2 linked regions of the Stegostoma tigrinum genome follow. The protein of the gene in region 1 purifies or fractionates together with the protein of each later gene. This does not show direct contact. Links are inferred from orthologs where the notes say so. Each region holds a gene or a part of one and is shown in the gene's direction. Other genes may lie near its edges.

Region 1 (7,325 bases):
GGGAAGATTTTAAAACTAGTTATAAAGAACTTCTCTGCTTGGTAAATAGCAACCATTTACTGAAACATACAATGCTAAAACATGACGGAAAAAAAACAAGAAAACTCACTCCTCCAAATGTCATTGCAGAACATTTATAAGTGAAACATTATTACACATAATAATAACTTACACTCAGTCTTGGATTCAGCACACATTATCACAGCTAAAAACAAATTATTTGGAAATGATTAGAACCTAGCTACATGTAAATTGACTGCCTGTTTCCTACATAATAACAGTAACTACACTTCCAAAGAAGATAAATTAGCTTTGAAGTACTATGGGTTATCTTTCAGGAAAAAACATCACTGTTATAAATGTGAGTTTTTTTTTGGAGAATCTGTCTGGGCAATTTTGTTTTCTTTCCTTTAGTATTTCTTGGGATATGGGTGTTATCAACAAGTCCAGCATTTGTTACCCATTTCTAATTGCCCGTGAACTGAGTGACCTACTCAGTCACTTCAAGTGGGGTAGTTGAAAGTAAACCACATTGCTGTAGCTATCAAGTCACATACAGGCCAGACAATGTTAGGACAGCAGACTTCCTTCCTTAAGGGGTATCAGTGAAGCAGATTTATTAACTGAAATCAAATTCTACAAAACATCTGTGGAGGAATTAAAACCCATATTTCCAGTGGAAATATGAATTACATCACGACATAATAATCATAGAACCCCATTCAGCCCAAGAAGTGCACACCAACCCGTCAAAGAGCATTCCATCCAAACTCATTCCTTAAACCTGCACTTCAGTACTAGTAGATAATGCAACTAACCTGGATTTCCCTGAACACTATTGGAAATTGAACATGGCCAATCCACCTAACTTGCATATCTTCGGACTGTAGGAGGAATCCAGGGCACCCAATGGAAACCCACACAGACATGGCGAGAACAGTAAAACCCCATGCAAACAGTTGACCGAGGCTAGAATTGAACCCAGGTCCCAGGGTCTGTGAGGCAGCAGCGCTAACCACTGAGCCACTGTGCTTTCCCCCACATGACTGACATTGTTTTTTAAATTCACTTGTGGAACATTGTCCTTTCTAAAAAATTGTTTTAGTCCATAAGCGTTGAATCAAATTAAGCACATCTAAGCTAGATGTAGGAGAGTTGAAACTTTTCAAACAATGCTCCTTTATTTCCTTTTTCTAGGATAGTTGGATAATCTTCTCTTACAAATACGAATCAAGTTTTTCGCATTCTCCATCTGTCTTGTTCTGCAATCTCTCCCACAATGAAAAAAAAGGGCAAATCCTGAATTGTCACAATGGCCTATAACATCTCAATCAAGTATTAACTTCCGGAATATCTGAGCAAATACCCCTCATGCTTTTTATGATTTCTTTTACAATATACAGGAGAAAAAAAAATTTTGTTTTGGACTGCCTCCAAACAAGGCTGGCATTGACATACCGGGCCATGTGACCTCCTGTGCACTAAACATCTATGAATCAAAACCAGTTCATTCTTTGGCTTACCATGAGCAATGGATCAGGGGTTAGTTATACTAAAAGAAAAAGAGAAGAAGAAAAAGAGATTGCATTCATGCAATTTACACATTCTAGTCACTGAGGCAAGTCCTCCTAGAAAAGTAAAACAGTGGACAGTAACACCTTCAAATCCATACCCTAAAGTTCTATGAAATCAAAGTGTCCAGCTATACAAAATATGCCCAACTAGCCTTTCATATACATGTTTCAGATACAATGGGAACTGCAGATGCTGGAGAATCCAAGATAATAAAAAGTGTGGGGCTGGATGAACACAGCAGGCCAAGCAGCATCTTAGGAGCACAAAAGATGCTTTTGGGCCTAGACCCTTCATCAGAATTTTTTTTTTCTGAAGAAGGGTCTAGGCCTGAAACATCAGCTTTTGTGCTCCTGAGATGCTGCTTGGCCTGCTGTGTTCATCCAGCCTCACATTTTATTTGGTTGGATTCTCCAGCATCTGCAGTTCCCATTATCTCTCTCTACTACATAAAGAGAGTTGTCCAGACTGGTAAAAGTAATCAGTTGAAAGCATTATTGTAAATTTATCACTACCATCAAGAAATACTGTAACTTTGAATAAAGTAACAGAACTTTCCTAAATCAAGGATTGTCTGCTGGTATTCAAAAAACTATTCCTTTATCAACCAACACCATTTTTAAAAAATTAATTAAATTGTTGGCTGCTGCATCAGTCAACACTCCAGAAGACACAGAGCAGTGTAAATCACCAAACATTAAAAGAAAACTTGCACCTAAATAGCAAATTTCAGGGCTTCAAGACATCTCAAAGCACTTTACAGCTAATGAACTACTTTTGAAATGTGGTCATTTCTGTTGTGATGTTGGGAACATTCCTGTTTTGCAGTGACCCTTGGCGTACATATTGCCACTATGAAGGTGGATTTTCTGGATTTAGGAAAACCATCTCATTAATACTAGTATCCTACTGGAACTAGGTCTATCAATAAACAGACAAAGCCCCAGCAAAATCAATTTTGTCAGACTGATCACTGCGAACAAAAATCACCTCCCCACCAGTTCCTGTTTCCTCAATGTTCAAATGAGAAATAATCCAATGGAGGCCAAAGAAAATATTTCATGGACACTCTGAAGCTCTCCTTAAAGTACAACATCATTGACCTCAATGATTGTGAGGGTTTTCCATTATTCATTCAGAATAGTGACAATTCATCCACCAAGTACTTTGATCTATATGACAGGAATGACGCATAAAGACCCAAGGTAAAAACTCACTAGCCTGAAGAGATAGCATCTTGAATAGTGGGTCAGGTGACTACAAGAACAGTTGTCAAGCAAGAAATATAACAACTGATTTGTTCAGAGTAAACCATGCCACAAAGAACAATGCTAGTGGTCAGTTTATTTGGTTTGTTATGTTGCCTGACGGATAAACATTGGCCATGACACCACAGAGAACATCCTTCTATTGTTCACAACAGTCTTTATTCTTTCTTCATTTATGAAATGACGGCATCGCTGGCTCGGCAGCATTTATTGCCCATGAGGGCAGTTAAGAGTCAACCACATTGCTGTGCATCTGGAGTTACATGCAGGCCAGACAAGATAAGGATGGCAGTTTTCTTGCCTAAAGAACATTGGTGAACCAAATGAGTTTTTCCCCAACATTCAACAACACGGTCATTAGATTCTTAATTCCAGATATTTTATTGAATTCAAATCCCACCATCTGATTCGTCCCCAGAAGATTATCTGGGTCTCTGGATTAACAATCCAGCAATAAAACCACTAGGCCATTACTGCCCCTAACAGTACAATTTTTTGATCTGAAAAATTCTCTCTAAACGTGTCGCACTCCTTGTCTAATGGCATTAGAGCGTTAGCCCAGGTTATGGTCAAACCTCAAGTCTCTCGAGTGGAACTTGTAGCCCACACCGTTTGATCCGCGGCGAGATGGCTACACACCAAGCAAAAACTCATAATTTAAATTACAGCAACTTAATACCTTGCTACGGATCAGACAGTGCCGTCAGTGGCACTGTCCATTCGTGCTTAAAATCGAACCACTCTCGCCAAACGTCTACTTCTCCCAAATGAAGTTATATAGAACAAACGTTTAATAATTTGCTTAAAAGCCAATTTTAAAAAAAACGTCTACCTCGTCCTGATTAAACCTGGCTCTTTAACCCTGCAATGCCCAAAGTCTGACTTTGGACTTCGTGAAGATGAGGGTTTACATGATCCCTGACACTAAAAAAAAGTATGCAACAGCCAAATAAAGGGTTAAGGCTCTACAGGCCCTGCCTGCTCCATCACTCACTCATGTCCTTACACTCAGACACAAGCGCGCAAAATAAGCTAGGTACCAACGGCATTTCACACCGATAGAAGCCAATCGCAATAAAAAAAAAGCTGAAGGAAGAGAGCAACTGAATAACCTGAACACCGCAGTTGTCTGTTGAAGGAAAAATAAACCGGCAGTCACAGCAGATTGAAAAAATCACCCCAGTCAGTCAAGCTTGATGCTACCTCTCAGCCTAACTTGATAGCGACCCAAAGCGCCCACCCCGCTGCCACCGTGATTGGTTCACCTACAAGAGGCTCTCATGTCCATTGGTTCCAAGTGTCATCAATCACGAGCCATGCCGCCCCACCCGACCAGTTTGAACCGTCAAAACCCGCCCCCAGCCCTTGCAATGTACCCTGCCCCATTCCCGTCGCGGATACCGTCGATTGGATGAATGACGATACAGCCTCCCGCCAAGGCTGGCTTTCAATGGGCTGGAGCTGGCCGTCAATCAGATCACGACTTGGCGTTCCTGTTGTTAGAGGGTGGAGGAATGGGGAAGAGCGATATCAGATGCGCATGTGCGTTTACTCGTCGTCCGTGTGGGGGTGGTTTGTTCAAAATGGCGGCGCCCTGTCTGAATCGTTTGGGAAGTTTGGAGTGAAAGTGCCGGTGTCGGAGAGGGAGAAGGACAGAGAGGAAGATCGTGAGCAGTTGAGTTTGTTGGTCCGCCTTCATACTCTTTCCCCTTGTTTCTTCGGATCCTGCTGTGACTTTTGGGACCGCTCTAGTCGATTGTTTGTGGGGAAGCAGCTTAAGCTGGACGGTCGGGGCGAGAGGGAGATTTTCTGTTTGACTGTGGAGCCGAGTTTGGTGTAGTGTGAGGCCGGGCCTCAGCACTGCCTTAGGTAAGAGATCGAGCGAGGTGGGCACATGTAGTCAGCGGTGACTATTGCCGTTGTACTAGAGGTAGCTTCGCTTTTGGGCTGTGAGCTGTAACCCCCGCCTCGCATGAAAGCTGCACCGACTGCTGTTTAGGGCCCCTAGCCCCTTTGGAGGGGACAGGGATCAATAGTGGGGTTTTTATTGCAGTTTCACATCTACTGATTATACTACCCCCCCCCCCCCCACTTCACTGATGTTCAACGTACCACCCCCCCTCTCCTACCCCTCCCCCGGCCAAAATAAAGGGATATAATTTGTTTTTTTTTAAATCTTTTCATGCGTCGTGAGTAACTTTGTCTTTGAACCATTATCGGGAAGCGAGGGCGAAGGGCTTTGTAAGAACATTTGGGTGGTTTGGAGTCGCTGTACCCCTTAACTGCTGTTGTTGTGTCATTGAGGAAATCTGATCACTCGTAACACTGATTAATTATATTGATGAAACGTTAAATTATTTTAATCTACACTGAGAATCAATTTGGGAAATCTGTTTTTTTGGAGCTTCTTTTGTAGAATGTAATGTATTCTTTTTTTGGCTGACTACTTCAGAAATTGCTCTCCAAGTATATCTGCTGTTGTCCAGTTGGAAGTGTCATTATGTATGGGCTAGAATGCTTGGGTTCAAGAGGTGTGTCATAACATAGTTAATATTTTGACCCAAAGTTAACTCTTTCTGTCTCCACAGATGATACCAAACCATTGAGCTTCTCTAGCATTCTGTGTTAGTCTTAGATTTCCAGTATGTATGGTATTTTGCCTTTGTGTGTCATAACATCCCCATAGAGGTTGATTTAAAAATACCTATCCATTGTGATATCACAATATGGTGATGCAAATGCTAGAGAAAATTCAAACTGTTTTCAGTATTTTTAGCAGTAAATGTTAGCTGGGTACCCCTACTCCTCTTCAGTAGTACCTTTTGGATCTTAGTATGAGACCATGCGAATGGGCCTCAGTTTTATGTCACAAAGTGGTGACAATTCTACCAATGCAGTACCTGTCACTAGTATTGTGAATTCTTCAGTATTAGGTTTTTAAAACATTTGATGTCCACAACACTTTCCACTTGTAATAAGATGCGTAGAATGTTGGAAGCACACTTTTTCCAAATGAAAAATGAAGGAATGATATTTGTGCATCATTTCCCTGTCTCTTGATATCAACCAAATTTGTGGAGTTCCAAGGTCTTAACACTCCCCCAATTAACACCCATTGAGCAATTGGAGTGAAGTTGCTCTACTGATACTAACTGTTCCTTCTCCTGTCCAGACCAGACTCTAAGCAACGGATGTCCCTCCATAAAGGTCCTCAAATCTCATTCACTTCCTGAAATAAAAACAACAAATGTTGGAAATACTCAACAGGACTGGCAATATCTGTGAACGTAGAAACAGAGTTAATATTTCAGGTCATAGCCTGTCATCTTTTTTCTATGTCATTCCATAAAAAGTACAGCTGTTCGTTGCAATAGTATCCTGCTCAATGAGAAAGGAATTGCATTTCAACACTGACCAAGATCTTGGACCTTTCTTAGTATCACTTTATGGCTCTTTAATTGGGACTGTTAGCATTATAACCTAGACGGTTGCCTTGAGAAAGGAATTCCAGACCTTGTGGTCTTGCAGCTGAGGGCAGCCATATACCCATGAAAATCAGGGGCGTAGAAACCAGAGTTGGCGGAATACAGGAGTCTTGGGGGGTGAAGGGGTGTGCTTGTATGGCTTAAGTAATTTGCAAAGGATTTGTCGAACTTAATAGAATTTTAAAGATTGGTGTCATATCAGAATAGTCAGTCATGGAAAATGAAAATGTTAAGTTTGAGACATTGAGTCAGTGCAGGTTTGCAAAAGTTAGGTGAGTGGGACCTATGTGGGAGAGAATTTTGTTCTAGATGAATCAGTTGCAGTATCTGAAACATAGGCTGGTAAGGTGAGTATTGGATAATTGAGTCTGTGAGTGGCAAAGAGCAAAAGAAGGGTTTCAGCAGTCAATGGTGGTCATAGGCATTAAGTTGGAAATTTGAAGTCTTTTGTGGTGGGGCTGCAGTGGGTTCAAAAATTAAGATTTTTCACCAAGTAGGAGAAAAGTTGCAAGCAGCGTGCTTCACTCAAAACACTTAGTGAGAGGGTTGGTCGCAGTCAATGTCAAGGAACTGGTGATACCAAATAATATCCCAAAAGGCAGAAATCCCACAATTCCAGAACAGTTTAAATTATGGAAGGCATTCAAGTGTGAGACCACTTAATTTGCTGAAGTTGACAAATAGTTTAACAGTTTACAATGGAGACTACGTTCCCATGATCCTTAACGAGTTTCTGTTTTAGCTGAAATAAAACAAAGTTTGTAGGTGTACTCTGAACCGGTTAATCTGTGATGTAATCTCAGTATTTAGTGGCGCCACACATAGGTTTGTTAAAATAATCATATCTTTCACTTGGTCAGAAGTTAGTAAAGAAAGTTCAAATTGGCAAACTCATTTTCTTTTTGTTACACCATTTATTTCGAATGCTGAAGTTTAAATTGTTGACTGATTTCAATACTGTCAAGTTAGCACACTTACAGTTGACCTTTGTTCTTACCAG
Region 2 (7,230 bases), on another chromosome or scaffold:
AGTGGAAACCGATGTGCTGGCAGTGATTAGTTTATACAGAACCTCTGAGTGGGGATACAGCCATGAGGCTTCGAGGGTATGTTGTTCACAAGAATAAGTCAGTGATGAGGATACTTTGGGAGCGACGAAGGCTGAGAGGAAATTTGATAGAAATTATCAAAACTTTCAAATAATTTTCTGATTGGGTAATGGTCAGCCTGGGAGAAAGAAAAGTCACCAATGGTGGGGACTATTGGAAATGGATTGGCTGTAGTGATTATCACCATGGTCTCTCGCTGACGAGGATGGCTCTGTCCCACTCTCAGGGTGAGTCCAAATGTTGCTGTACAGGCCGATGTGGCTACCGCAGGCTCCGTTACACTTGGGGCAGAAGGTGGTCGCGGGACATTGGCGTGCTCCTTACACTGTTTCTGCTTTTTCCTAACATCAACTCTCAAGGTGCTCAATGCCTTCCCAGATGGTCCTCCTCCACTTTAGGCCATCTTGGACCAGTGATTCCCAGGCATCTGCAGGAACGCCACACTTTGCCAGTGAGGCCTTGAGACTGTCACCGAAGCACTTCCTCTGTCCACCTGGGACTCACTCATTGTTTTGAAACTGGGAGTAGAGCACCTGTTTGGGGAGTTGCATGTCGATCATGCAGACAACATGCCCAGACCAATGGAGCTGATCAAGGGTGGTCTGTGGTTCGAGGCTGGTGATGTTGGCCTGGTCAATGATGCTGGGTTGCTGCATCTTTCTTCCCAGCAGATTCACAACATCTTGCACTGGTAGTGTAGATGGTATTGTGCCAGTGCCTTGAGGTGTCTGCTATAGACAGTCCATGTCTCAGAGCCATGTAGAAGGGCAGAATCCACCACAGATCTGTATATCATGTAGGAGGGTGGGATCTAGCACAGCTCTGTATACCATGATCTCGGTGTTGGATCTGATGTTGTTGTTCTCGAACACCTTTTTCTCAGGTGGTCAAAGGCTGCAATAACACACTGCAGGTGGTGCTGGGTCACTGCATCAGTCGCTGCTTTGGCTGACAGGACATTCCCGAGATATTGGAAAGGGTCAGTGTTCTCTCAGGCTTCCCTGTGGACTTGATGATCAGGGGTTTGCTCCATATTGCCAGGCCTGGTTGATGAAGGACCTTTGTCTTGTGGATGTTTTGGGGTGAGACCCCGTATGCCCCCGTCACGGTGCTGGAGTACATACACTGTGCATACACACGCACCATCCACATAGTGCAGCTCAGTGCCACTGGGTGGGCTGTGGCTTTGGTTTTTGTTTGCAGGTGGTGGAGGTGAAATAACTTCCCGCTACTTCTGTAGGTTAGCTCCATGTCAGCAGGGAGTTTGTTGGTGGTCAGGTGAAGCATTGCAGCGAGACAGATCGGGGACAGTGCTGGGGTGATGACACACATTGGTCTGAATGGGGAATGGGTTGGAAGTAGAGCCATTTGTCATTACCATGGCTTCCAGATTGTCGTGAAGCAGCTGAAGGATGGTGACTTCATGGTGCAACCAAAGCAGAGAAGGGCGCTCCATATGCTTCCTGACTGACAGTGTCAAAGGTCTTTGTAAGGTCAGAGGGCCACGTGCAGGATAGGTTCTTTTCTCTGCATTTCTCCTTCAGCTGGTGCATGGGAAAATCACATCTGTTCTGCTCCTCCGTGGCCAAAAGCCACGCTGCAATTCTGGGAGGAGCTTCTCAGTCACAGGGAGGAGGTGGTTGAGGTGGATGTTGGCGATGACTTTTCCAACAGGCGGGAGCAGGGAGATTCCCCTGTGGTTACCACAGTCAGACTGTTTCCTTTCATGAAAATACTCATGACTGTGGCATTGTGGAGCTCTCCCAGGGTGCTCTCCTCCTTGTGGATAAGGTAGAAAGGGCCTGAAGGCAGCAGCAGGATCGTTTTGCTTCTACACCTCAATGTCTCAGTCAGGATATCATCTACTCTAGTAACCTTGTTGCTCTTAAACTGTTCTTAAACTTAGACCCTGTCTACTTCATGCCAGGCTGGGGCGTTGGTCAGCTTATGGTGTGCAGCTGTCGGATTGACGACAGAGCCCTGGTTGAGGAGGTGTCTGAAGTGGCAGTGGTGAACAGAGCATCTGAACAGAACGGATTAGGACAAACAGTTTCCACTCATAAAATAATCAAGAAAAAGAGGTTACAAACAGTAAAGAGACATCTTGTGAGGCAACGAAACAATACCTCTCACAGCAACAGCTTCAAAATGTGATGCGTTGAGGCAGGTTCAATTCAGGCTCTCAATTTCCACAGAAACAATACACAGGGACACGGACACGAGAACTCAGTTAAAATGTCAGAGACAAAAACTGAAGCTGTGGAATACCTCCGGATACAACGCATCATCCTCCGACACTTCCGCCATCTACAATCCAACCCCACCACCCGAGACATTTTTCCATCCCCTCCCCTGTCTGCTTTCCGGAGAGACCACTCTCTCCGTGACTCCCTTGTTCGCTCCACACTGCCCTCCAACCCCACCACACCCGGCACCTTCCCCTGCAACCGCAGGAAATGCTACACTTGCCCCCACACCTCCTCCCTCACCCCTATCCCAGGCCCCAAGATGACATTCCACATTAAGCAGAGGTTCACCTGCACATCTGCCAATGTGATATACTGTATCCATTGTACCCGGTGTGGCTTCCTCTACATTGGGGAAACCAAGCGGAGGCTTGGGGACCGCTTTGCAGAACACCTCCACTCGGTTTGCAATAAACAACTGCACCTCCCAGTCGCAAACCATTTCCACTCCCCCTCCCATTCTTCAGACGACATGTCCATCCTGGGCCTCTTACAGTGCCACAACGATGCCACCCGAAGGTTGCAGGAACAGCAACTCATATTCCGCCTGGGAACCCTGCAGCCATATGGTATCAATGTGGACTTCACCAGTTTCATAATCTCCCCTTCCCCTACTGCATTCCTAAACCAGCCCAGTTCGTCCCCTCCCCCCACTGCACCACACAACCAGCCCAGCTCTTCCCCCCCATCCACTGCATCCCAAAACCATTCCAACCTGTCTCTGCCTCCCTAACCGGTTCTTCCTCTCACCCATCCCTTCCTCCCACCTCAAGCCGCACCTCCATCTCCTACCTACTAACCCACCCCCTTGACCTGTCCGTCTTCCCTGGACTGACCTATCCCCTCCCTACCTCCCCACCTATACTCTCCTCTCCACCTATCTTCTTTTCTCTCCATCTTTGGTCCGCCTCCCCCTCTCTCCCTATTTATTCCAGTTCCCTCTCCCCATCCCCTTCTCTGATGAAGGGTCTAGGCCGAAAACGTCGGCTTTTATGCTCCTGAGATGCTGCTTGGCCTGCTGTGTTCATCCAGCCTCACATTTTATTATCTGTGGAAAAGCTCAGCAGGTCCAGCATCACCTGTGAAGATAAAATCAAAGTTAACATCTCAGGTCCAGTGACCATTGCAAACAGAAGTTCTGAGAAGAATGTGGTAATGGTAACTGCAGATGCTGGAGAATCCAAGATAATAAAATGTGAGGCTGGATGAACACAGCAGGCCCATTCTGAGAAGAATGTTCCCAGGAAGTGTCGCTGGACCTGAAACTTTAACTCAGGCTTTTTCTTCACAGGTGCTGCCAGACCTGCTGAGCTTTTCCAGCAACTTCTGTTTTTGTTCCTGATTGACAGCATCTGCAGTTCTTTTGGTTTTTAAAATGTCAGAGAGCACGTGTGGTTATAATGGGGCAAACGGCCTCCTGCAATTCTGATTATAAATAAACATTGTTGCTTGACCTCCTCGTGCATTTCCTGTTATTGGTTTTGCAATTATAATTTGAAGCAGCAGTGATGGTATTTATATCTAAACTGCTGCCCCAATGGGCCTCAGGGACATTGCATTCATCCAGAAAAGTTTAGAGAAAAATTTAACATATTCCTGCAGTAATTACACCGCCGCCAATCGGCCAAATCGTGACATTACAGTGGACAGCGCCCTCCAGTACACATGGGGAAGTAGAGCGCCACCACGAGTTAGGAAAGAGGTACTGCAGCCCCACTGTATACCGCTCGCGCTCACGAGGGGCCACTACAACCACGCAGAGCGCCCTCCTGTGTCCAGGAGGAGTTACTGCCATCGCTCACTGCGCCACACAGTGTCCAGAAGGGGTACTACAGCAACACAGCGCGCCCTCTTGCGGTTTGGTGAGAGAAGTGGGCGGTCCGGAAGTAGATGTTTGACCTCTGGAGGTTCTGAGTTTCCGGCGAAGCGATACTGAAGCCGCAATGGCGTCGGTGTTTTCAAAGCTGAGGGCAGGCTGCTGCCAGTAATCCGCCTCCATCGGCCTGAGTATCGGCCAGAGCAGGCTCAAGGGTTTCTAACCTTGTTGCAGAATGTCTTATAAACACGCTGATAGAGCCATTTGCTGTGAATCAAAGCGATATTACTGATAAAAACTTAGATACCAGATACAAGTTTTTTACGTTCGCTAATCCAATATTCTGGACTCCAACTGAACTCAAAACGAAATAAAATAAGTTTTTAATGTTTGGAAACGGCGTCTATCCTGTAAAAACTATCTTCAGGAGCCAAAACATTGCCAAGAAAATCCAAGCCCCAGTTCTTGTGCCTTAAAGTAAAGACCTGAAGTTGCTGTCAGTGGCAGCCCAGCAGAGTAAAGATTATGGAAGAAAAGGAACATTTGGGGTGAATGTTCAGACAGACGATCAGGATCAGGGCCGCCTTCAGCACACTTTCACTTTAATTTTCTTGTTTTTTTTGTGGGATGCCGGGCTCGGAGAGAGCCGGGACTAAGGCGGATGGAAGCAGTGGCCTGGGCTCCCTGCAGCCTGGCCCCAGCAGCGGCAGAGAGCGGCGCAAAGCAGCGTCCAGGCACAAGCGACACCGAACCAAGCACAGCAGGGACTCGCCGGGGGCGGCCACACAGACACCACTCACCAAGGTGAAGTCTTTGGTCGAGTACGATGACATCAGCTCGGAATCGGACACTTTCTCCGAGGTCACCGTCCGTTCCGAACGGAGAGAGAAAGAGGACCGGGTGAGTTCAGACAAAGCGGTCAAAGTTCACAAACATCACCACCATCACACACACAAACGGGTTAAGGAGCACCATAAGATGAAGGAGGCTGAACGGGTTAAAGATCGAGGGAGAAGGCCAGAATCTGGCAAGTCCAGGAGTAGCAGAGAAAGGACTTCTTCCAAAAGGCAGGTGATGGAGGATGAAGACAGTGGGAAGAAAGAGCGAACGTCGCCTCTCTCAAAGCACAGCAGCAAGGAGTCAAAATCTGCTAAATCGTACAAAGAGAGAGCAAAGAAAGAGGAGCGGTCAACACACAAGGAAAGAACTAAGAGTCAAAAGAAAAATAAGGAGACACCACGAGGCTATCGAACGTCTCCCAGTCCAAAAAAGAAAAGTGGGAGCCCAAGACGCAAGCATTCTTCAAGTCCAAATAGGGAAGACAGCCCCATTGGGCCATATGGCAAAGGATATGATGCCAGTCCTGTTTATAGGTCACGGACTTCTAGTAATTATGATGGTTACTGGCGAAGTCCTGGTGATTCCAGCCGGAAACAATCGGCCAGCCCCCCCTATTATGGTTCCAGGGAGCCCACAGCCTACCAAAGTGGTTATAACATGAGATCACCAAGTCCTTACGGCAGGAGACAACGGTCTTCAAGCCCCTACAGCAGGCATCGATCCCCCAGCTACGACAGACACAGCAGCTCGTATGACTACAGTGGAAGGTCGCCAAGTCCATACAGCAGGAGACGCTCAGTAAGCCCATACAGCACCAGGCGGTCGTTCAGTCAGAGCCCATTGGCCAGGTACAGTTTAAACTTTACTTATTTCTTAAGGTGCAAAACAGTACTGTGAGCTCATATTAGTGTATTGCTGTGTGAAATGTTTTATCTGTTTATAGTATGAGAGGGTTGGGAGTCAGAGAAGGGGTATTTGACAACTTTAAGCCCCCTTAGCCAATAGGTCACAACCAGGGAATGAGACAGCACAGCACTTCCTGAATGGCAGCTTTCAGGCCTAGTTCTGAGTCTTGCTTCAGACTTGCTACTTGGAGGCAGCAGTTTCTGTTCACTTTAATAAGACAGGGGCAACTTGAGGTGGTGGGAAGTTGATAGTGAATTAAGGATTTATTTTAGGGAAAGTGTTGAATGATTTAGTTTTGTTCAGACAGTTTGAGTGGCTCTGACATCAGGTTCATAATGACCCTCTGCTCCTCGGACTGTTCCAAATCTGGCAGCAGGAGGATATGGGAAATGCCTGAATAACTGTTGGCTGTAAGGCTGAGTGCTGGAGTTTACAGAAGGAGCTATTCTGAGAAATGATCCAAATTGGAGAGCAAAGTTGGAATGTAAGGGGCCCTGGTGAAAACAGTGTGGTGAAGGCTTACATGATGAGATCCTTCTGCAGCCCAGTGCTAATGATCAGCTGTGTGAATGCCAGGAATCGAGCCAGAGTATGGGCACACTTCAGCTATTGTCACCTCCACGTTTCCGTGGGCTAGGCCTAAATATTCACAAGGGGAAGTGGCAGGGTTCCATACATGATGGGGAGTTCCGCACAGATTGTGTACACGACAAGGCCCCAGTACATCATGAGGGTCCTACAGGTGAGGGGTCACTACCCAACCGAGCAATGATGTTAAGCTATAACTTAGCCAGTTATGCCTTTTCTCTTAATTGCTTCAGTTCTTGTGGATGCTGCAAAGGACACCACACTCCCCAGATACTCATTTAGTCACCTGACACCTGTATTTACAAGCACTTTCTGTAATATCACAAACCTGTGTACAAATAACAAGTGTTGAGGCTGTCAGTATGAACCAATTTACCTGGAAGTGAATACAGGCTTTAGCAAAGAGCAGAATGAGGGTAAATGCTGCTGGAGGTAAAAATCTTGATTGTAAACATTGAAATGAAGACATTGGCATCAGAGGAGCAGGAAAGCTGACGTTTCAGGCCTAGACCCTTCTTCAGAAATCTGCTCCTGTTTCCTGTTCCTATGACACTGCTTGGCCTGCAGTGTTCATCCAGCTCTACACCTTGTTATCTCAGGTTCTCCACCAACTGCAGTTCCTATTAGCTCTGAAACATCCTTGTAAATCTTTTCTGAACCCTTTTTGAGTGTCACAACATTCTTCCTGTAGCAGGGAAAGCAGATCTGAATGCAGTATTCCAAAGTGGCCTAACCGATGTCCTGTACAGTCATAA

The links. The genes of interacting proteins can lie anywhere in the genome.
Region 2: the proteins of ccnk (region 1) and cdk12 purify together in Homo sapiens (affinity purification with mass spectrometry; 6 studies listed by BioGRID and IntAct, with this or other methods). This does not show direct contact. The link is inferred for Stegostoma tigrinum from reciprocal best matches to the Homo sapiens genes CCNK and CDK12.

What each region holds. Positions count from the first base shown.
Region 1 is NC_081363.1:18,537,621-18,544,945, reverse strand, and holds the start of ccnk (cyclin-K), read left to right. Parts: upstream 1-4,308; 5' UTR 4,309-4,374; coding exon 4,375-4,514; exon of another isoform or gene 4,515-4,709; intron 4,710-7,325. UniProt on the Homo sapiens protein: Regulatory subunit of cyclin-dependent kinases that mediates activation of target kinases.
Region 2 is NC_081384.1:540,063-547,292, forward strand, and holds the start of cdk12 (cyclin-dependent kinase 12), read left to right. Parts: upstream 1-4,220; 5' UTR 4,221-4,768; coding exon 4,769-5,829; intron 5,830-7,230. UniProt on the Homo sapiens protein: Cyclin-dependent kinase that phosphorylates the C-terminal domain (CTD) of the large subunit of RNA polymerase II (POLR2A), thereby acting as a key regulator of transcription elongation.